Linked DNA regions of Oryzias latipes. The protein of the gene in region 4 interacts with the protein of the main gene of each other region in a pairwise test. Links are inferred from orthologs where the notes say so. Each region holds a gene or a part of one and is shown on either strand. Other genes may lie near its edges.

Evidence for each region.
Region 1: the proteins of ppp1cc (region 4) and zfyve9 interact in binary tests that used the Homo sapiens proteins (3 or more experiments, as listed by UniProt). The link is inferred for Oryzias latipes from reciprocal best matches to the Homo sapiens genes PPP1CC and ZFYVE9.
Region 2: the proteins of ppp1cc (region 4) and serine/threonine-protein kinase LMTK2 interact in binary tests that used the Homo sapiens proteins (3 or more experiments, as listed by UniProt). The link is inferred for Oryzias latipes from reciprocal best matches to the Homo sapiens genes PPP1CC and LMTK2.
Region 3: the proteins of ppp1cc (region 4) and ppp1r3c interact in binary tests that used the Homo sapiens proteins (3 or more experiments, as listed by UniProt). The link is inferred for Oryzias latipes from reciprocal best matches to the Homo sapiens genes PPP1CC and PPP1R3C.
Region 5: the proteins of ppp1cc (region 4) and c3h15orf59 interact in a two-hybrid assay, tested with the Homo sapiens proteins (2 studies listed by BioGRID and IntAct). The link is inferred for Oryzias latipes from reciprocal best matches to the Homo sapiens genes PPP1CC and INSYN1.
Region 6: the proteins of ppp1cc (region 4) and tprn interact in binary tests that used the Homo sapiens proteins (3 or more experiments, as listed by UniProt). The link is inferred for Oryzias latipes from reciprocal best matches to the Homo sapiens genes PPP1CC and TPRN.

Annotation. Positions count from the first base shown.
Region 1 is NC_019875.2:4,330,823-4,334,975, forward strand, and holds the start of zfyve9 (zinc finger FYVE domain-containing protein 9), read left to right. Parts: upstream 1-1,353; 5' UTR 1,354-1,591; intron 1,592-4,153. UniProt on the Homo sapiens protein: Early endosomal protein that functions to recruit SMAD2/SMAD3 to intracellular membranes and to the TGF-beta receptor.
Region 2 is NC_019866.2:12,832,156-12,834,731, reverse strand, and holds part of serine/threonine-protein kinase LMTK2, read left to right. Parts: coding exon 1-1,907; intron 1,908-2,442; coding exon 2,443-2,575; intron 2,576-2,576. UniProt on the Homo sapiens protein: Phosphorylates PPP1C, phosphorylase b and CFTR.
Region 3 is NC_019873.2:14,796,075-14,800,081, reverse strand, and holds ppp1r3c (protein phosphatase 1 regulatory subunit 3C), read left to right. Parts: upstream 1-1,207; 5' UTR 1,208-1,377; coding exon 1,378-1,391; intron 1,392-1,629; coding exon 1,630-2,629; 3' UTR 2,630-3,653; downstream 3,654-4,007.
Region 4 is NC_019867.2:25,502,798-25,505,666, reverse strand, and holds the end of ppp1cc (serine/threonine-protein phosphatase PP1-gamma catalytic subunit), read left to right. Parts: intron 1-248; coding exon 249-383; intron 384-1,732; coding exon 1,733-1,822; 3' UTR 1,823-2,369; downstream 2,370-2,869. UniProt on the Homo sapiens protein: Protein phosphatase that associates with over 200 regulatory proteins to form highly specific holoenzymes which dephosphorylate hundreds of biological targets.
Region 5 is NC_019861.2:27,767,791-27,772,039, forward strand, and holds the start of c3h15orf59 (UPF0583 protein C15orf59 homolog), read left to right. Parts: upstream 1-1,449; 5' UTR 1,450-2,028; intron 2,029-2,064; exon of another isoform or gene 2,065-2,242; intron 2,243-2,487; 5' UTR 2,488-3,949; coding exon 3,950-4,093; intron 4,094-4,249. UniProt on the Homo sapiens protein: Component of the protein machinery at the inhibitory synapses, probably acting as a scaffold. Inhibitory synapses dampen neuronal activity through postsynaptic hyperpolarization.
Region 6 is NC_019870.2:25,831,451-25,835,625, reverse strand, and holds the start of tprn (taperin), read right to left. Parts: upstream 2,801-4,175; 5' UTR 2,446-2,800; coding exon 349-2,445; intron 1-348. UniProt on the Homo sapiens protein: Essential for hearing. Required for maintenance of stereocilia on both inner and outer hair cells. Necessary for the integrity of the stereociliary rootlet.

The DNA.
Region 1 (4,153 bases), on a different chromosome or scaffold from region 4:
ATACGTTCATGAACTGAATTGCATTATTTTGAAGAAGCCTTTACTCCGCGTGGGTTTGCTGCTGGGAGCTCCGGTACGGTTACTTGAGAAGGCTGAGCCATTTTGGCTGTGAGCAGCAGGACGGATCCGCGGACCCGCCCCGGGGATCAGCGCCTCCAGGCCGGCCCACCGGCCGCTCTGCTGCAGCGGCGGGAGCAGAGGCTGGCTGGACGGAGCGGCCGGAACTGCGTCAAGCTGCACGTGACAAGCTGCTACCACACCGGAAACACGATGTGTCGCCTGGAAAATAAGAGCTCTGACATGGTATTTCCACCAACAAAGCTACCGGTACCTTTTTAATTTTTTTGGTTGCCAATCTCCTCCACGTGGGTCGGCCCAGCGCTCCGTTGATAAGCCTCGGCCCTCGAAGGGTCTCTTCCCCGATTTCTCCCCCACCAGTGTGATGGAGTCCCTTGTTTTTAATTTTAGTGTTAATAAAATTGTGTTCAAACTGGTACCACGTCTTGGCCTCATTTTGAAAAGTAATCTGTGCGCCTGGGTTGAAGCGCCTCTGGGTGTCCCGGGGTGGCATTGTTGAATCCCTTTTTCTGCTACACCAGCTGCCACAGAATTCCAACATTTTCTCCACAGTACCTTGCCATTGATGCCGAGACGATTAAGAGACAATTAATTAAAAATCCCTAGGAAGAGTTTTTGCTTGTATCTGGAAGTAAATTAAATTAAATTCAAGATAGCTGCCTTTTCCCAAAGTCAAAGGTCAACGAAACTTCTGTAAACTCGAGCTGGTGGCATATTTGTGTGATTTCGTCAAAATTGCTCAAACAAAAGTGTCGTTTTCCCATATTATGAAAAAACACAAAAAACGGTGATTCTCAGAGTTTGCCACAAAATAGCCGCCAAGCCATAGGTTGTGTGGCTGTCCCATAATGATTTCAAAACTTTAACTCCCAAAGTCATATTTTGGTGACTTTTCGAGTATGCGGCGGGGGTTACATTTTTGCTCAAAGGCGCCGAAACCTTTCCAACTACAAAAACAATATGGTCCTTGCAGTCACTGACTGCTACATAATTAAAAGACCATTAAAGACGCTTAGAAAATGAATCAAAAGATAAACAGAGTGGAACTTTATTGTTTTAAATAGGTTCCATAAATTTTAGTTTTTTTAATCAGGCTTTTGGTTCTTGCTAAGGGTAATAGCAATAAAACAAAAACTACTTAAAAGTAATAATTTGCTTTCTTTTTTATTATAAAGCAAGTTTAAGATGTTACAGTGTACAGTTCTTCTCAGATTTTCTGAGGGATTTTATTTTGAAATGTGTTCCGGAAGTCAGGTGCTTCCATTGAGCTTGCCTTTCCTTCATCCGTATTTTCCAGCATTAAACCATGGGGGAGGGAGTCTGGAGTGCTGCCTCACAACTACGGCGGACTACAGGCTCTACTTTTCGGCTCTAAACATCAGAGACCGGCGGCGGCGAAGCCTCTGACGGGGAATCCCTCGGAAACGCCCCGAAAGGCTCGGATGTATGTATGGCTTCTCCGGAGTGACGGGGAGTCTCGCGGGGGACGGGCGTGAAGATGAGGATTCCTCCGGTGAGTTGCTGCATTTGTTTTCGGGTGACATTTCGCAGCTCTGTTGCTCCCGTAACGCTCCGCACCGCCATTGCAGCGGTATTCCCGAAGGCGGGCAGTGGACGTGCGGGTCCGCCGCGGCGTTTGACCGCCGCTCCTGCCCCCGAACGTGCGCGACCCCCTCCGAACGTTTCGTAACGGTAACGCGGGATTCTGCGTGAATCATACAACGCGCTGCGTGAATTCCAGCTGTCGCTAACTCCACCGCAGACGGAGCGGCGGCCGGGACGCGCAGACTTTGAGCGCTCAACCCGTCGTGACCGGCGTCGCACTCGGTGAAGCGGAGACACCGAGTCAGTGACGGCGGGCTGAACCGCCGGAGCAGCGCCCCGCGTCCGTCACTGCGCACGAGCGCCCGCTGGACCCCCGGGGGTTGAAGCCCGCCGCTTTGCCCCCCGCTGCCGGGATTATGTAACACCAGTGCGGCGTTACACGTTCTGCCGGACTTGGTGGAGCTTTTCGTCTCACTAGCAGTCCCGCTAAGTTGAGGAGCAGCTGCTCCTCCCGGGCTGTTGCTCGGCCTGCAGGCTGGAGCCTCCGTGCCTCCTCATGTTGCATAAGCCTCGCCAACGGTCACCCATCTGCAGTGGCAGTTCTCCTGTGGGCAATGTGGGCAGTCGCCGGGGGCACGAGCTCCCCGAAAAACAAACAAAAACCACATCCCACCCGCCGCGCGCGCTCATTTCCACGTGAAGTTATAATGACATGTGTCTGCGTGCTGCTGGGATGACAGTTTTTGGAGTGGAGAACACTCTGGAGCAGCGCGCGCGCGGGGGAAACCAACTCGCAGTTGCAGTGGCTGTGAACAGGTAGAGGGGCGGGGCTTAGACTCACCGCTGATGATTCCAGACCCCGCAACAAACCAACAGCTGCTTCCTAATAACTAACATTTTCATTAATACATTTAATTTGCTGGGTTTACTGGATTTTATGAAAAGTTAAAGAAAAAGAAAAAAAAACACACAAAAAAACCCAGAAAGGAGTCTGCATTAAAGTGTAGCATCACAGGCGGGGACCGCTCCCCCACAGCCAAGAGGTGACCCAGGTCCCCATCCAGAGCCGCAGTGGCTGAAACAGCAGCCGACCCACAGGGAGAGGTTCAACTGAGGAAGCACCGAAAAAATAAATAAAATGAAAAACAGAATGAAAAAATAAACTTATTGATAAAAGCAATAAACGATAAAACATTGAAATAAGGTACATTCAAATTAAAATAATGCATTAAAATCTAGTGTAAGTTCATAAAACAAGATAAAATGGATACATAAAAATAAATAAATCAAACAAACAAATAAATAAATAAATAGTGGTGGTAAAAAACTAGGTAAAAGCCAGGTTAAACAGATGGTTCTTTAGCCTTTTCTTATAAACGTCAATGCTCTCTGCGGCTCTCAGGTCCTCTGGCAGACTGTTCCATAAACGGGGGCCATAGTGTTGAAAAGATGCTTCTCCGTAGGTTTTGGGTTTTACAGTCAGAATGGTTAACAGACCTGTGCCAGAGGATCTCAGGGTCCGCGAGGGTTTATACTTTACTAAAAGATTGGATAAATAAGAATGCGCAAGACCGTTAAGACATTTAAAAACGGTTAGGAGAATCTTAAAATCAATCCTGAAGGGGATTGGGGAGCCAATGCAGGGATTTTAAAATTGGGGTGATGTGAGCCCGCCTCCTGGTCTTGGTGAGAACTCGTGCAGCAGAATTCTGGAGAAGTTGAAGGTTCCTAATGTTGGTTTTTGGAAGACCAGCAAGCAGGGCTTTGCAGTAGTCAATTTTACTCATGATAAAAGCATGCATTAGCATCTCCATATTAGCAAGAAAGAGCAGTGGGCCTATCCAGATTTCTGAGATGATAAAAAACAGTTTTAACCACCTGTTTTGTTTGTGGGATAAAAGTAAGCTTAGAGTTGAAAATAATACCCAGTTTATTGACTGTTTCTGAATGGCTTAATGAAATTTCTTTTAACTTCAGAAACTGTTTCTCTTTCTTAACTTCAGGACCAATAACTAAAATTTCATTTTTTTCCTGGTGGAGCTGCAGAAAGTTATTTGCCATCCATAATTTTACATCTAAAATACAGTTAAAAAGTGCTTCTATTGGTCTTGTGTCATCAGGAGACATAACTATGTACAGCTAGGTATCATCAGCATAGCTATGAAAGCTGATGTTGTGGCTTCTGATGACATTTCCTTGTGGAAGCATGTAAATGTTAAAAAGCAAGGGGCCAAGGATGGAACCTTGAGGCACACCACAAATAATTTCATGGACCCCAGAAAGGTATGTGTCCATGCTTACCATAAAGTTTCTCTCCATGAGATAAGATTCAAACCACTTGAGATCAGTCCCTGAAAGGCCAAGACTTTTAAGTCTGTTTACAAGGATCCGGTGATCAACGGTATCAAAAGCTGCACTTAGATCTAACAGAACTAGTACTGAGATCTGACCTGAATCCAAGGCACACCTGACATCATCAATGATTTAAAAGAAGGCTGTCTCTGTACTGTGGTTCGTTCTAAAACCAGAC
Region 2 (2,576 bases), on a different chromosome or scaffold from region 4:
AACTGTCTGGAAACTTTGTGTTTCTTAGAGACCACAAGCTGATGAAAGAGGACTCCGTCAACTCAAGACTGCACCCAACTTTTCTTTTGCCCGGCTTAGTTCACGAACCAGAGGATACCTTCAAGATGAGCTCTTGGGAGAACCTTGAGACGTTTGGCAGCTTAAACACAACCGACTCGTACTCAAAACCTGCACCAAGTAGCGCCTCCTCAAGGCAGGAACTTTTAGACTTTGAAAGTGCAAACTTCGAGGACGCCCTGGTCGAAAACTCAACACTGGTGCCTTCCATTACCGTGGTGGCAGATGACAACACAAGCAGCTACCTGCCAGTTGTAGAAAGTTCTTCCTCTAAAGACCGCAGCCTGCCACAATCCTCCGACAGAGGAGCAGACTCCGGTTTTGATTCTACCTCAGAGAAGGTTGAGATCGTCACTGATGGCCACTCCTCCGCATTTCCTGACAGTGCCACCAATGACTCTTTGTGCACCTATGCCAACATTGCCAGCCTTGACGATGACGACCCAACGACCTTACAAACCGCCGATCAGTCCGCGAGGAAGAAAATGCCGGAATATTTCCCAGTTTATGGAATGTCTTCGGAAAACGGGCACAGTGAAGACTTAACGAGCAACGATCTGTTTAGTGAGCTGATTGAGGACATGGAGTTGGAAACCACTCTGTCGGATCATGACGAGGCTTTCGTGGAAACCAATGGAGAAGCTGCGGTTCGGTCTTCTCTCTTGGTGTCTGGACCGTCTCTGGACCAGATCAGTCAGGACAGCTTACTAGAAGACAGCTGTTCTAACACCGTTCCAACCGCAGAGCACCCGGCTGAAACGCCAGACTCTTTAGATTCTCTAGACATACACAGGCTGGCGGAGCAGGCCGATGAGCTGAGCGCTCAAACACTTCAGCACAAACTCCATCCTCCATACAAGATATCTGACAGCGGCTACGAGACGGAAAACCTGGAGTCTCCGGAGTGGAACTCCCAGCCGAGCGACCGCTCTCCTGTCAAAAATGGCAGCAGCATCACAAAAGAGTCAGAAGAGCTGGCATCTGCAGCGAATTTGGTGCCACCAAAAATTGTTATCTCCGAAGTTGAGGGTTTACTGGAGAATTGTGGGGAGGACTTCCATGAGGGCCAGCAGACGGATCGTCCCGCTGAGGAGCCGTTCATGGGCGGCAGTTACAGAGACTCTGCGTACTTCTCTGACAATGACTCTGAACCTGAGAAAAAGTCTGACGAAGCGGCAGGAGGGGCTGCCGACGCTGTGTTGCTGAGGAACTCTGCCCAGAAAGCTGCCAAAGAAAGAGATATCGATGCTTTATTTTCTGAGCAGGACACCAACGTGGTCGTCCATATCGACGCGGCGCTGGAGGTCCACAAGGACTTTGAGACGAGAGTTGCAGAGCCCGACAAAAAGACACCTCAACTTTTTAATGCTACATCAGCACCAGAAGAACTTGAAGACCCCGCCGCCTCATCAAGGAAAGAACCAGAGAGAGGCGTTCACCCAAAGCTGACCAGGACGTACGCCAACGACGGCCATAAGATCAAAGAGCCAGACGTAGAGGGCCGCTACCTGGGGAGGGGGGAGGATCTGGATGGGCAGGAAGATGGCGTGGACGCAGACGAGGAGGACGAGAACAGCGAGGACTCGGATGATGACCTGCGTGGGTACCAGCTGCACAGCTCCAGCTCTGACAGCGAGGACGAAGCGCCGCACCCCGTGCCGGTGATTGTGTCCGACGACAGCAACTCAAAGCACCTGAAGAGTTTGTTAAAACCCACAACTTTGAGCATACCAGCATCAACTTCCCCGTGTCCAGTGAGGTCCAACGCAGAGAACTCCAGAAGAGCCGTGTCCTTCTTTGACGATGTTACAGTCTACCTATTTGACCAGGTACAACATCTGTTTTTATCTCTGCAGCGATGTTTTCCTGGAAAATATAAAGCTACGTTCACACCAGACATATTATGTACGTTTAAGAACGCGTGTTTAGCCCATGGCGTTCACACTGGACTGTCTCTACCTAATACTAGCGCCACCTACTGTTGGAAGACACTTGGGGTGAAATGTCCAATCTCGTAAATCTTGCTCTAGAGTTTTTCTTTCACAGCGCTGTTCTGGTAGATGAAAGATTTGGTGTTGTAGAATTCCTGCCGGGTACAAACCGCAGTTATTAATTTCTCCTCCATCATCAAATTTCAAACGGTTGGCAATTCTGTAGATGAAAAGGAATGCCATCCAATGACTGACTTCAATGGCTGTGCGTTTTGTACGTAGAGCCTAAAAGTCTTAAAACGTGTGTAGCTACGTGTGAACGCACATTTACCTTGACTTTTTCTAGGAAGTGGTTTCTTGAATGTGCGTTGTGTGAACTTAGCAGCATAATGCAGATGTTTAGATCTTATTTTGACTTCTTGTGTTTTTTTAGGAGACCCCCACCAAGGAACTGAGTGACCACTTGAGTGGCCCAAACAGTCAGACGTCAGAGTTCAACGGTCCAGTGCCTGCTGCCGGCTTCCCGAACCGCTTCGGTAACTCCGAAAGCTCCACCGATGAGGAGGG
Region 3 (4,007 bases), on a different chromosome or scaffold from region 4:
GGGCTAACACGCTAACGACCGACTGGTACAGAATCAAACATGGGCGGGGCTTTTGCCACCCGCAGAAGCGTAGAGAAAGTGTAAGGGGCCATTCGATTGGCTAAAAGCGAACCCGCCTGCTTTCCCGATGAGTTTGATTGACAGATTCACTAGCCAATGGTGACATTAGTTGACCCGCTCCGTCAGATGAGTCTCAATATTCACCGTAGAAAAATCTCTCACACACACGGGGAGATTCACAAACGAGAACGGGAGTTTGAATGCACAGTCTGCAGTTCGAATGATCTGTGAGTTCACATCACATGTGTACCTAAAAATCATGTTTGTGAAGCACCTACTGTGTATTTCTGATACATTTATTGTGAATTTCTAAAATGTTTTTGTGAAAAACAGTGTGCACATTTGTGAGAAACACTTATTGTGCATTTGTAAAACATTTAGTGTGCATGTGTGAAACACAATCTGTGTGTTTGTGAAACACAGGGTGTGTATTTCCGAATTTATTTTTCACGTTTGCATAAAATGACATTTGTGAATCGGAGCGTGTGCATTTGTAAAACCGGTTGTGTGCATTTCTGATTATTGAGACTGAATTAACTCCATAGTTTCTGCCAGTAAAGGGATCTATAATCATTAGAAAATGTAACTTTAAGAAAAAAGTGGAGTCAAAGCTGGTTAGTCAAAGAGAAAAAAAAGTATTTGGCAATGCAGTGTTGACATTTGAACCTGGGACAAAGAGGGGCCCCTAGCAATTATGTTGTGAGTACACAAAGTGTTAAAAGACAATGACTTGGGGGGGGGGGGGGGGGGGTTGTAGGGGGTAAATGTTACTTTTTTACGTTTTTTTCTCCCAATTTGGTGTTAAATATTTTTTTAAAAAAAATAAATATTTTAAATATCAGTTTAAAAGATCTTGTCAAAGTCTGTGAAGATTTTTCGGTGCTGCTGGGGTTTTTCTTGGGCATGGGGAAGAAGATGGTCTGCGCCCAGGCAGAGAGACGGCCACTCCAGCAGGGGTCCATCAAGACTCTCCAACAACTAGCTGAGGAATCCCAACCACGACGCAACACGCCCCCTTCTAGCCGGCCGGCGGACGTGTCCTCCTCGAAGCTGATTGGTCGGTGACGAAGCCACTCGCCTTCTGATTTGCTGCTCAGGGAACCACATGATGGGATATGCAAATAGCCCCCGTGAGGCAGTTCAAATCTCAGAGAGAGGAGCCAACGCAGCACTGGAGGACTGAGGAGCGAGAAAGAGGCATATAAAGGGGGGAGTTCCTGCAGCGGGCACTTTAAGACAGAGCTGCTCTGCACATTTCCAACGCAGCTGAAAAGTTTCGAACCATTTCCGCATCTGAGGCGTTTTATTCTTTGTCCCATGAGTGCTGCAAGGTAAGGAGCTGGTGTTCACGTCGAATCCAAACGTGTTACCCTTTATTCGGTAATTACTACAAAATGTTGGAATTTAAGTCTGATTAATTTGAAATTTTGTGGTTTTACTGACTTTTAGTAGCTCTTTTGGTTAAAAAAACTGCACAAAAGTGTCAAAGTTTCCCCAAACTGTTTCCAGAAAGCACCATCTCTAACCTCCCCCTCCTCTCCTTTCTCTCTCCTCCTCCTCCTCCTTCAGTGTGCTCCCGTCTTTCAGTCCATCAGCAATGCCTGGCCCTGTAATGCCTATGGATGTGGCCATGAGATTCTACATTAGCCACTCTCCTCCTCTGCGAGGCTTCCTCAGCCCCTACGATGACCTGCAGAAGGCCAAGAACAGGGCCAACCAGTCCGCCCGCAGGCACAGCCAGCAGCTCTACAAGCCCCTGCGACCGTGCCTGCAGAAGGCAGTTAGTGATGGTAGCTGCGTGGCCTGGAACAAAAGCAAGGCCGGCAAAAAGAGGGTGGTGTTTGCCGACACCAAAGGCATGGCGCTCACCAACATCCACGTCTTCTCCAAGTTCGATGATGAACCGTACCAGATGAAGCAGAAGGATGAGATCACAGAGGAGCTGCAGTTCGACATGACAGACCTGGAAACAGCCACCATGGATTTAAAGATCAGCTCTGTTCGCAGCCTGGCACTTGACTTTAAACAGCCCTCGGCCGACTATCTGGACTTTCGGAACCGCCTGATTCAGAACTCCGTGTGCTTGGAGAACTGCTCCCTGCAGGAACGCTCTCTGACGGGGACCATCAAAGTCAGAAACATTGGGTTTGAGAAGTTGGTGCAAGTGCGCATCACCTACGACTCATGGGCCAGCTACACCGACGTGGACTGCACCTTCCTAAACAACGTCTACAACAGCCAGGACAATGACACCTTTGCGTTTGTCGTGGAGCTGCCATCCTACGTCCCGCCACAAAACCGAGTCGAGTTCTGCATCTGCTTCAAGGTCCAAGGCCAGGCTTTCTGGGACAATAACGATGGCAAGAATTACACCCTCAAACACAATGGCTGGAGCGGCGACAACGTGAGCAGAGCTTCTGAGCCAAAAAGGCTTTCAGAGCACAAAACTGGGGACGGGAAGGTACTTGACCTGGGGTTTGATCAGTTCGGCAGCCCACGCATGTCCAGCGGACTTTTTCCTGGTTGGCAGAGTTGGGGTCACTTTGATAACACCGTGCCTTACTGGTGAAAGCAGCAGGAGGTTCGCCACACCGGCACAAGATCACAGACACTGACAGGGCTCTTAGTGCAAATCCAGCTCTGGGGCTTCAACTCGACTGCCTCTCAGCCAGAAACTAAACTGAAGCGAACAAGCTCTGCTTTCAGAAGCAGAAGTAGTACAAAAAAAAGACAGAAACCTAAGTGTAATATGCTCAACTGACCTACTTTCTGCTGTAACATGGTCGTTCGGCCTGGTAAATGATTGAACAGTGGCTACCAGAGGAGGGATTTTTGGGGTAGGGGGGAAAGAGACCTTTTGTAAAATATTAATGTGCCTTCTTATCATGTCTGCCCACTAAAATACAGACTGATGCATGAGTTGAATATGCACTGACTGCGCTCAATGTGACGTCTGGATATTAGGAAGGAAAAGGAGCTGATTATGTCCTTCATATTGAAGGGAAAGCTAGGGGGTGCATGACAGTAGAATGATTCTCTGTTCAAGGAAATTTAGGTTGATTTCTAATAAAAAAAAATTTTAAAACGGAAAGGAAAAAAAAAGCACACTAAACCTTTGCACCCTCCTATATTCAGAGTGGTCTTGTTTTCTAAAATGGGAGTCATGCAGCCCTTTCTTTCCCTCCGTGTAAATTGCACACTTTTGCCTGGTTAAAAGAAAAATGTAATTCTGAGGCGAGCTATGTAAAGGAAGCTGCTATATTGATGTGTGGTTTGAAAGTATCTGCATGTGATTGGTTGTTTTCAACAGGGAAGACGTTTGATTAATTGTTCTGGTAAGTGAAGAAAGAAATGATGTAAAGATCGAATGTGTTGGTTGCTTGTGTTCACAAGTGCAATTCTTAATGTTAAGTGTACAGATTGAGTGGCTGGAATCCAGATTATTTTGTATTTTGAAACTTTTAGTCACTGTGAAGAAAAGGTCTAGACCCCGGCATTTTGTGTCTCACTTGAAGGTGTGTGTTGCCGACACACACCATGATTGTAATGTATTTACTTTTTGGAATAAATTTATATATATTTGTGTCAAAATATTAAAGTCTCAGGATTTTATTTCCCTCTTACTTTAATATACGGTTGTGTTGTCAACATAAAAATGTGACTATAAAACCTAAGTCTTGAAAATTACATGTTATTTCGTACAATGAGTATTTCCCAGCATCCCCAGGAAAGCACAAATTTCTGCAATGCAGTTTCATTGCATAAACATGCTGCAGATCTTTTAAAATTTGGATTATGTAACCCATGTTTGTAAACAAACCATCAATGCATACATGATTTGGTGTTTACAAACACTGGAGTTAAATGAATTATTAATGAAAGCGTCTCCCATTACCTGGGGTTAGGCTCTTTATTTACTGAGAGGGGAAGTGGCACAACACTGCGTA
Region 4 (2,869 bases):
TGTATCAAAAGACATTTATTTTTGACCCCTGAAAAAACAGCATTTCTTCTGGTAACCTGAGCTTTTGAATAGAAATGACATTCTTTGACATTTAAAATCAATTTCCTTTTAAATGCAACTGTTTTAAAAAAAACTGCACTTTAGTTGAGAGAGAGTGTAATCATGGTGACAGTAAAACTAAGCGTGATGATGTCACACTTTTTGGAATTTTCTTTTAACCCCCTTTATTGTCGTTCTGCCTCTTTCAGGTGGTTGAAGATGGTTATGAGTTTTTTGCAAAGAGGCAGCTTGTGACCCTGTTTTCAGCTCCAAATTACTGCGGGGAGTTTGACAATGCTGGTGCCATGATGAGTGTCGACGAGACTCTTATGTGCTCTTTTCAGGTGGGCTACCTTTATTCATGAAGATACTACCATAAGCTGTTTGCACCAATATGATCTCAGGCTAACCCTAGATTAAGCATTCCTTTAAAGAAAATTACATTTCAAGACATTAAAACATAACTGCTTGTTTTGAGTTTGATTAAGGATTTGATACAGTTACTTAAATATTGATTTGATTTATACATTTTTAATTCCAACACCAATTGATTTGCTTTTTTAATAAATGTTTACTAAGTGAGTGATGGAAACTAAACAAAAATACACATTCCTTTTCTTCCCTATTCAAAGACCCACTTCGGTAAAGTGTGTTTTTGGTGTTTTTAGCATGGTCTTCTGTCATTTTTCTGATGACAAGGGAAACATATTAAGCTTAAAATTGCATTTCTATGTCTTTCTTTAAAATGATAAAAACACTATTTATAAAAAGGTGTATGTGTGACGTAGAAACCTTGTTGGGCGGGCCTCAAGCTCCCTGCTCTACTCTATTCTGATGCAAACAAATAGATCCATTTACGTCTTAGTTTTCCTTGTCTCAGCTGGAATCTGGATCAAAACTGTATGACTGGAACCCTTTAGTATTGCTCGCCATTTTTGTTCCACCACTAATGTAATATTGGGTTTTTAGGGGCTGTAAGATAGTGGGAGAGCATATGAACACAGAGCTCCTGGTTAAGGATGATGGGAAGGAGGTTGCAGGTTTACCCCCCCCCCCCCCCCCCCCCCAAAAAAAACAGTCAATTTTTAATAGAAAGTTGCCTTAAAGAAAGATTGACATTGCATTTCGAAATGTCAATCAAGTGGTTTATGCTGCCGTTCTTGGTGTTAGTGTTCCTGGGTTATCTTCAGGGAGAATCTATAGGTGTATTTGATTTTTGATTTCTCCAAATGTCTGTGTTGATCGAGTAAAAAAGCAGTCAGACAGCTATAAAAGTGGATAAAGCGCTGCAGCTGCTGCCTCTCAGCAGCAACAGCTGGAAGTCTTCTCTGCGGGGTTAACTTTCCAAAACAAAGACATGGAAAATACACCCTTTTTCTTAAAGCATAACTTTTATCCATGTTGTTGAGATGAAGCCGTATTAACATATTCCACTTACTAACCTGTTTGTTTCTTTTTTAACGTTTCTTACAAGCAGAAATCGTTTATTGTGTAGCAGTAAAGAGGAAATGTAACTCTTATTCTGTATTACTAGGGAATTTTAGTTTGAGTATACATTTGTTTATTTATTCTTTATTAAAAGCTTTAATATGAAAATAAGAAATGTCTAGGCCTCAAAGGACTGTTATTGGGTGTGTGGTTTTTTTTGGGATGTGATAAAACAAAGGCGTAACTCTTTACACTGGATTTGCAGATCTTGAAACCAGCTGAGAAAAAAAAGCCCAACGGCAGTCGTCCTGTGACTCCCCCTCGCAACATGGTGACCAAGCAAGCCAAGAAATGAGGCAGGCGCCAGGGAGCTGGTGGGGGCCAGAGTCCCACTCCTCTGGTCTGCTTTTGTTTTCCGCATTTGAAAGATCGGGTCTTCTTCACGCTGCCAATACTGAAGATACCCGCTCCCACTCGATGAAACAAAATGTTTTATTGTTTTGTCCCAAGGGGTAAGTTGATAAGTCACCATGGAAAACCTCAGGTGTTTTGCACTCCATTTGCAGCTAGTCTTTGCCACATAATGACTGTTCAATCAGGAAAATGTAACAATACGGCTACTTGTGCACAGGAATGCCTTTGTCTGAAGCTGTGCACAATTTTTCCACTTTTCCATGTCTCGTTTATTTGTCATCTCTTTTCCTCACTGTCAGTAATAATAAACAATGGCTATAAATCTATGAGGAAAGTCACAGACACATTTACCTTTGTAAACTCCATTGACTGTCAGTGTCAAAGAGAATTGTCAGAATTGCATCATATTTCTAAATAAGTCGCGCTAAGTTAAACGAATAAGGAAACATTCTGTAATATCAAAGTCTTTCTAATAAACTTTGAGAGTATTTGGGGGGGGGGGTTGATATCTTAATGTTATTTGTTTCTAAAACTTTTATGGCTCTTGATGAAAATAAAAAGTTGAAAACTTCACTGTGTCTAAATAAGTGCTCATGAATTATAAAGCAGGTACTAAAAAACACCCACGAAGACCAGCGCTCAGCCACCTGCAGCTCTTTATCGCTCTGTTGTGGCTCTCTGGTTAAAGAAAAATGATTGTCATATTTAAAAGTAACTATAAGGGAAGTAAGAAAGTTTTTTAAAAAGTAAGTTAACTCAAACTTTTTTTAAAACTCATTCACAAACATTTGAAGGACGGTACGTATCACACTTTAACAGATTTATTTGCACCATGTAACGGAAAATCAATTGAAGGTCAGTTGGCACAACCAGAGTTAAAGACCACCAGATTATGAGATGGATTTTTTTTTGTTATTTTTGGAACAAATGAAAGGATTTAAGTGCACCTTATGGTTCAAAAAATAAGATAAGGGTCACCTAAATAGCT
Region 5 (4,249 bases), on a different chromosome or scaffold from region 4:
TGAACAGGTCGCCAGTCTGTTGCAGGGCAGATTATAAAACAATGTATATTTTATATATATGTTTTTTTTTTTAAATCCAGGAATGAAACAAGTGTACAGTATCTTACCAGCTTTACTCTCCTGACATAGCAATAGTTTTAGAATTATACTATACACACAACTAATCAATAAACAATGTCATCTACAACAGTGAAAACAATATTAGAAATAAATCATGTATTTTTTTTCTTTTTTAAATAGAAACAACAAGCTGGAATTACTTTAGCATTAAAATGTCAGTATGTATTCAAAAACAAAAAATTGATTGGTTTTAAACATGGAAGCAATGGAGGTACTATGATGCCACAAAACACAGGGATTCTCATTAGTTTTTAGTCTGTCTTTTCTGAAAAAGCTCATTTATAGCAAAGGCGTGACTAGATGTGATTTTATTTTTATGCTTACCAAAAAAAAAACAAAAAAAATGGAAGGAAAGAAAGAGAAGAACAAAATGTAAATCTGCTAAAACAGCTGCTGTGTTATTAGGATGGAGCTTTCTATAAGTGCGGAACAAGAGAGAGAGGTACGGCAGGGAAGCTGTGAAGCAAACATGCTCAAGGACACCTGTTTTCAGTCGGCAGTTTGTGAGAAGCACCTTGTGTTTGCAACAGAGAGCAAACACGGTGTAAATCCAAACACAGGCCAGCCTTAACTCAACAGCCAGCCATGATGTGCTTTAAAATTAGACAATGTTATGAATAATTGATGAATTCCTAAGACGACAAAATGGTACCGCTTACTTTTAAAAGGTTTGTACTTTGTTTGAAGCCTCTCTTTTCTTCACGTATTTTGTCAAGCAAAAATCTGATTATTTATTAATCAAAGAAATCCTGCAAAAGATCATTTTAGTATACAACAAAATATTCTCTCAATTAGCCTTACAGCACCCGCATTTGTTTGTGATCCTAGTGGCAAAACCACAGAGGACACCAGAACAAATTCATATGCATGAAAAATCCACCTAACCTGAATCAACCTCTCATTTCTCTGCACAGTTATGCAAAGGAATGCACAGAGCCTCTAGCTGTTTACAAGAGTTATCTACCAAAAACCTGCTTAAACTGGTGAGTACTGCAGAAGGTGCTCACATTTTTAATTTGCTTTGGATAACTAACTTCATATCTCTGTGCTTCAGGTAGAGTTTTTAAGGGAACAAACTTGTGTTGAGACAAAAATCCTTTGGAGGAGGACAGAAGAAACACCAAACACCATCAAACACCAACCTGTTTTGTATAATAGTGATGTTAAAAACTTGATTTAAAAAAGATAATACCCTCTATACACTAGTGACAAAAGCTAGATAGGCTGAGTGAGAGGAGATAGGGAGGGAGTGTTGACAGCGGCACGGAGGAGAAGACGAGAGAGAAGGAGAGGAGGTTGCAAAAATGCTGTGCCTTTAAGGCAGCAAGCCCCTCCTACATGGAGCCGAGCAGAGGAGCCGAGTGATGCTGGCAGGAGCCCGAGCTTCTCGATAAACTCTGGCATCAGCTTCCCTTCATCCGGCAGTCAGTGAGGACACAGTGAGGGCGGAGGGGCAGAGGGATGGGGATGAAGGAAAACTGACAGGAAGGCAGAGAGAGGAGAGAGGAAGATAAAAACAGACCAAAAGACAAAAAGGAAGAGACTGTCATTAGAATCACACAGCTCCTTTTTCACAGCAGCCGGTCAGCCGTACCGACTAGTGCTTCCATCCAACCCGACTGGGATGACGGGTGGTGTGTTTTTGTGGTACGGCTGCCTGAGTGACGGCAGCGCCTGCATCACAGTCCGAAGCAGGAGTTCTCCTCGCCGCTCTGTCTCTTAGTCATCCTCAGCCTTCTCTCTCCCTTAGAGTGTTATTAGGACCGTTCATCTTCCCCATCTCATGCCTTCTGCCTCCTCCTCCTCCTCTTCCACAGCTTCATCCTCCACTTCTACTCCTTCTCTGATGAGCCACAACCTCAGAGTGAAATAACCCTGCTGATAGAAGCTTCTCTCTCTGTCAAGACAGTAAGTAAAGGGAGGGGGGATAACTGTGTGTGTGTGTGTCAGGGAGCCTGTGTGTGCAAGTCGAACAGAGACAGAGAGTGCAGCAAGACGGTCAGAAGAGAAGATGTTAGTGTGCACGACAGAAGGACCTCCAAGGAACCGGCAGGTTTGAGTGATCGTGATACGCCTGGCTATTGAGCTCCAGGCGTAGCAACAGCGTGGTGATACCGGCACGGTGAGTAGGTGTGTGTTCCAGTAAACGCGTGTGTGAGCGTGGAAGTGAGGTAAGTACTGCTGAGGCGAGGGATGCATTTTACCAGCAGCCGAAAATCCTCAACTCACTTCACATGTCTCCAACCTCCTTCACAGCACTGATGTTGCTCTTAGAACTGCTCAAAACTGAGGAGAGGCTAGCAACAGACAGGAGGGAAAGATGAGACATGAAAGAATAAGTAATTGCTTTCCTTCCCTTCTGACCAGGTGCCATGCGTGATTGGCCAGCACACCCTGTGGCAGTGGCATTGCCCGGGATTGAGCGCGAAGCTCTCCCTCCTGCTCACTCTCTGGAGCTCCTCTGGGAAGCTTTCCTGGGATTTATCTTGTGCTGCTGGATGGCACGAGGCTCTCTGCCTCTCTGAGAACGGTCCCCAGAAAAAACACTCTCTATACGGATAAGAAGTAAAATAATTATCCAATCACAGCACAAGCAGGCAGACTGGGTTCCCTTAGCAACAACTGAAGGAGACAAGTGATTTTTTTTTTCTCTCTTTCTGCTATTCTGGTTTTTGGGCACACCCCTGTGGACTGCTGTGGGTCAGCGTTCTGAGAGAGGACTTGAAGAGCGATGCTGCAAAAGCCAAGCTCCCATCCAAATTCCAAAGGAGGGTGCTCATCTGCGTTCCAGGCTCCTTGTTACTGTGTCTCGCTGACAACATGATTTGGGGGTTTTTTGTTATCCCTCCACAAATTCCCTTCACCAAGTCACATTCTGCTGGCTTTGAAATCAATTCATCCTGATCCCACGCCACCTGGAATGAGCTCTGCATTCAGGAGAGAGATTGGAAGAAAAAAAAAAGCTCACACCTACTCTCTTGCCTTTTGTGGACAAGAATACAAGGACAGCGCGATTAGCCTTTCGCCAGCAAGGAAAATGGATGTGAAATAAAGTTTATTTTAACAAGTTTTTTTCAAGAGGAAGAAATAAAACGGGGCACAGAGGAATATCTTTTTTTTTTCAGAGAAGATTTGTCCTTTCTCTCTTGCAGACACTAGCCCTCACTGAGGGACTTCATTTAAAAGGCAAATCTTGTCCCCACTGGCCATCAATAGATTAGAAAAAAGATTTTCAAAGTGAGCTGTTGATGTGGGTTTTATTTTTCCAGGTAGCTTAAGCTTAACCCACTATTAAAAAAGGTTGTTTTTTTTGTGTTCCCAGTTTTGTAGGTTAGTCTACAAATATGTCACTGTGTTGAAGTGAAAAAGATTCAAGTGGACAAGGGGAATGGGGAATAAGTCTCCCTGTATAGACAGGTGTTTTAAAATAGCTGGGACAGTTTTAAATGTACATGCTGACATGAGATGAGTTTGCTTAACACGATTATGTAAGAAATCTCCAAACAGCGTCAGCTCACATTTTCTGCTTCCCTTTTTTGTCCATGGATTTTAAGTGTGGGACTTTTCTGATGTTGATACTCCCTTCAATTTTGGAAGCGTCTACCCGAAGGGATGGATGTCAGAGTGTGACCCTGTGCCAAGTGTGCGGGCGAGGCAAGGTAATTTGGCTGCCCAGGTGCTTTTAAGATGTTGAGGTCTCCCTGTGTGGCCGGGGCCCCTGTTCGGATCAGTAGCGCTGAGGCTCATTGTAGCCAAAGACATGGACCCCGACTCGGCTCCCCCACGCCCTCAGCCTGTTGGCCACTGGCCCCACGTCACTTTGTAAAGGATGTCCCTCAGCAGAGCTCCGGCCCAGGACACCTCTGAGACCCCCAGCCCGAGAGAACGCATCCGCAGCCACATGAAGATGGTGATCAACCAGCTGGAAGGCATTCTCACAGAGCTCAAGGATGTGGCCAAGGAACTCCGGGAGGTGAGACTCAAAATCTGCTTTTTTATTGAATTAAAAAGGAGAGCAGGGGAAGCAAAAGGAAGTTATACATGATGGGGGGCAGGGTGGGTGTACTTTTTATGTGAGCTCCTTCTAATTAAGTATAAAAACAGCATGGTGATTTTCTTTAGATATATA
Region 6 (4,175 bases), on a different chromosome or scaffold from region 4:
CAGCATCTTAATCCACTTATGCAAACCGGCTGCTGCAGGTCAAGCGATGAGACGCGGCGGTTTAGCGGCATGCGGATGTGTGCAAGCGCGCATGTGGAGGCGTGAGCTTCAACAACAACTACGGAGGTGTGCAATGAAAACAACAGGTGCAAACAAAACCAGAACCGTGACATTTGACTGCTAAATTTAGACCTCAAGAAAAATTTGACGAACACGCGTCTCACGACATGATGTGTGTTGCCATGGGGATGTGTGTCTGTGGGGGGGTTCTGCCTTCGTGAGGAGGCTCCACATTTCTGAAAGACTGGTTTAGGAAAAGCAAAACAGAACATTTGAGTCTGTGCTCACCTTCTTCCCATTGGAGCCCGTTTTGGAGAGGCAGGACTTTGGGAGGGACAGGTATCCACCGATGACCTGGATGTCCTCCACAGCGGGGTAGCGCTTCTTCAGCAGGGTTCCCAGCTGAGCGTACGGGGCCTGTGGGGGAGTGGACCCCGGTGGGGCCCCCCTTGGTGCTTCTGGCTGGGTCTCAGGTGAGCTTGGCTGGGTGTCGGCCTCCACCCTGCGCTTTGGCACCACAGTGAAGGTGTTGCCCTTCTTCCTCTGAACAAGGGGGCTGGGGACAGAGACGCGCTGTGGGGGCTCCACCTCAATGTCATCTATGTTCGTTACTGGCAGCTGATCCAAAGAGGGGGGCCGGTGCGTCGGGGAGGGGGTGGATGTGAGCGGCAATGGGGCAGGGGAGTCTGTTGGAGCTGGTGAAGATGGGGGTGAAGCTAGAGCAGGTGAGGAAAAAGGAGGTGGGGTAACAACAGCAGGTGGAGACAAAAGGTCAGAGGTCACAGGAGAACCAGGACTTGTTTCAGTGGTAGGAGAGGCGTCGGGCTTGGGGGTCCCCACCAGCCTCTCCGTCTCATTTTCCTCCAATAAATTTTCAGCTTTTTTCTCCGTGGACTTCACAGGGAGTGTTGGGGAGGGGGGCACTCTGTTGGAGGAGGAGGCCTTGACTGTGCTGGCCGCTGCAGGCGGGGCCGTAAGGCGGCCTTTGGGGACCACGGTGAAGGAGTTCCGGGACTGCAGGCGGAGGTTTGCGAGGGCTCGTGCCTGGGTGTCCCCGTCAGGGATCTGAGCCAGGTCTGGCTTTGGGGAGGCCCGGATCTCAAAGTCCTGTGAGGGACGGGACGCCTTGAAGGAAAAGGGAGCTGTGGGGGACTCGGCACGGGCACGGCGGGTCTCCGGAGAGCATGGCACCTTTGGTTTGGGGGACACCTCGGTGACCTCCCAATCTCGCTCCCTGGTGACCTTGTTTGGCCCCCTGTCTGGCTCGTCTCGTGGGGGGGCCGCTGGGCCTTCCTCGAACCGCTGACGGAAGGATGACACTGGATGAGGGCCCCCGGGGATGTGCTGGGGGCTGCTGTGCTCCGGAACAGGATGCTTTGGTGTGGAAGAGCAGGAACTCTGGAAGAGCGGTGAAGACAGCTGGCTGCTGACCGACTGACCCGGCCCCTGTTTTGGCCCCAGGTCTGGCTGTGGTCTGGACCAGAGTCTGGATCTGCTGCTGGAGTTGCTGTCCAGGTCCAGCAGGTTCTCCGTGCTGTGGGACTTCTTCTGCAGTTTCCCATAGTTGCTGTCAAACTTCTGCAGGATCCGGCTGACCCGGCCATGGCCCTCCCCTGCAGCATACGCGGCCTCATACTCGGGTCGGCCCAGGGTGCTCAGGTTCTCCTCGCTCTTGCTCAGCGTGGTGTCGTAGATGACCACCTCCTTGGCTCGGATCTCGGTGACAGCGCTGCCCCTGCGGTCCAGAAGGTCGTTCAGGGAGCTGTAGCCCCCCACCCCGTTCTGCTGCCACTTGGCCCCCGTCTGAGCGTCTCCAGCTTCTGGGAAGTAATCTGGATCCGTCTCGATGATGATGATGTTGTCGGCTCGGATAGTCCGTATTCCCGGGACGCTGCCGTACAGTTCCAGGATGTGCTGGACCGGGCGGCCGGTGTGTTCTCGCTCCTCCTGCCGCTCCTGCCGCCTCCTCCGCTCCTTCTCCAGCTTGATGAACGGGTTCTCCTCGAGGGGCCCCAGACTCTCCTGCAGAACCAGGCTCTCGTGCCGGTCGTTCTCCCTCGGAGTCCTGTCGGAGGCCGTCGGTCGCGGCTCTTTGTTGTTTGCGAAGTGTTGGCTGGCTGTGGTGATGGTGTAGTTCCGTCCGGACCCACCGGCCGCCCCGCCGTCCCTCGTGAGTCCGCCGCTCCCGTTCACATTCCCCGTTAGCTCGCCGTTTACCCGTTGTGGGCCCGCACTGCCAGGGCTGGTCTCCGGGGACCCGGTTCCCCCCGAACCGCCGCCCTTAGCCTTCCTCCTCTCCAAGATTTCTCGCTTCCAGGCCGGCATCCTCGGACTTTCTTGGCCGGCATCTTGGCGGAGGAGGCGAACCTCAGCCCCGCCGGACATCGTGGTGGCTACCTCGGAAGGAATGAGGCACTGCTGCCGCGGAGCGCTGCGGCTGTGAAGGGCTGAGTGTGCCGCCGAGCGTACCCACAGGACCGTTCAGGGCGCACGCATCCCTGCCTCCCCCCGCGCTCTCTCTGTCGCCTTCACGGTACACTACTCTGTTTCTCCCACAGCCCCTGAACGCGACTCCTCCTCTCCACCGGACCGTAGCCCCTCCTCCCCATCCGTTCATCGGCCCCAAGGCTTTACAGACACGCCCATTTGCTTCCCTTAAACCGCCCCACAATCTCCCAAACCACGCCCCATCAATTGTTAACCGCATAAAATGGACTGTCAGTCAAAAAAAAAAAAAGGTTGCATTCAAGGCCGGTCCATCCTTTCAGGCAACTAAAGACGAATTCACACTTTGAGCTGCGTCCTTTCTCATTTACGGCTTTGTCGCCTGACTTTTAGTTCATAAAGAAGTTCAAGTTCACGAAGAAAACTCAAATATGACCTATTTTGGCTGAAGTTTAGGTCTCCCCAGGTGTCCCCTGTCGGTACCCGAGCGAAGCAGCTTTTTTCCTGCACGTGAATCAGCGCTAAGTGTTCTATTCTTGGGGACAACAACAGATTAATGTACCTGATCAAATATTAATCGCGCGGCTATAATTAAACACAGCTCGACATAAGTGGCCAGAACAATAACCAGTTTATTTGTTAGGTTCGCCCTGTTTGCTGAACAACAAAGGCTTCGGTACATGTTGATGGATACTACTGTACCAAAGTTTGGCTTCAGTGATTGATTTATTAGGAATTTGACCTTCTACGGGCTGTTAGGAAATACTAGTCATTAAAATAAGAAGTAAAATCAGAAAAAAACATTTACACGACATTTGGAAATCGTGAGATTTTAATAACTGATTGACCAGCATACTAGACTTTTACATGACAAACAGCGACCCCTTGTGGTCACTCTTTACACACACAGATTTAAATTATTCATTAGACAATATTAGTTTCGTTTTTATTCACAAATTTGCAAAGTCCAAGAAATAAAACAAAAACAAAAAACTGCATGTGCCAACTTCATTTAAAACTTCTCACATAACATACTTTGACATCAATACAATAAATAAAAATAAAGTCTTAAATACATGCAGATACATATAACACACAGTAAAGTATAAACCAAACATAGCTTCTGAAAATAAACAGCTCTCAGGGTGAGGCGTGAAAACAATCTACTGCTTGTTGCAATGAGGGGGTTCAAGCACAAACAGGTTTCTGTGAGGGTCATTCTCACAAACAGGAGCCAGCGAGGGGAGTATAAAGGTTGAATGAACAACACCACAGACAGAGAAAAGATGAAAAAAATTGAGCAAAATGTGTTTTTTTCTTTTTTTTTCTGGGCAAACAAAACCAGTAACCAACTGAAGTTTCTCAAACTGCAAAGACCATTACAGTTTTAGATTGTTGCAATGTATTGTCTTTAAACAAATCAGCAGGTGAACAGATACATGAAAGTATAGCTGATATTTCCCGTAAGGCTCATAATTTTCTGTTGATTGCGCATCTGACATTTTCCGTTTAATTCTCACAAAGTTCCAAAAATGAAGTTACATGGGAAAGCAACTGATTGAAATGACTTCCAATAATTGTTTCAGAACAAAAAAAACCAACGTAACTCAAGCAGGCACATAAAATTGTCCCTCAAGCTACACCGTAGCGGTTTGAAAACAAGAGGAAAT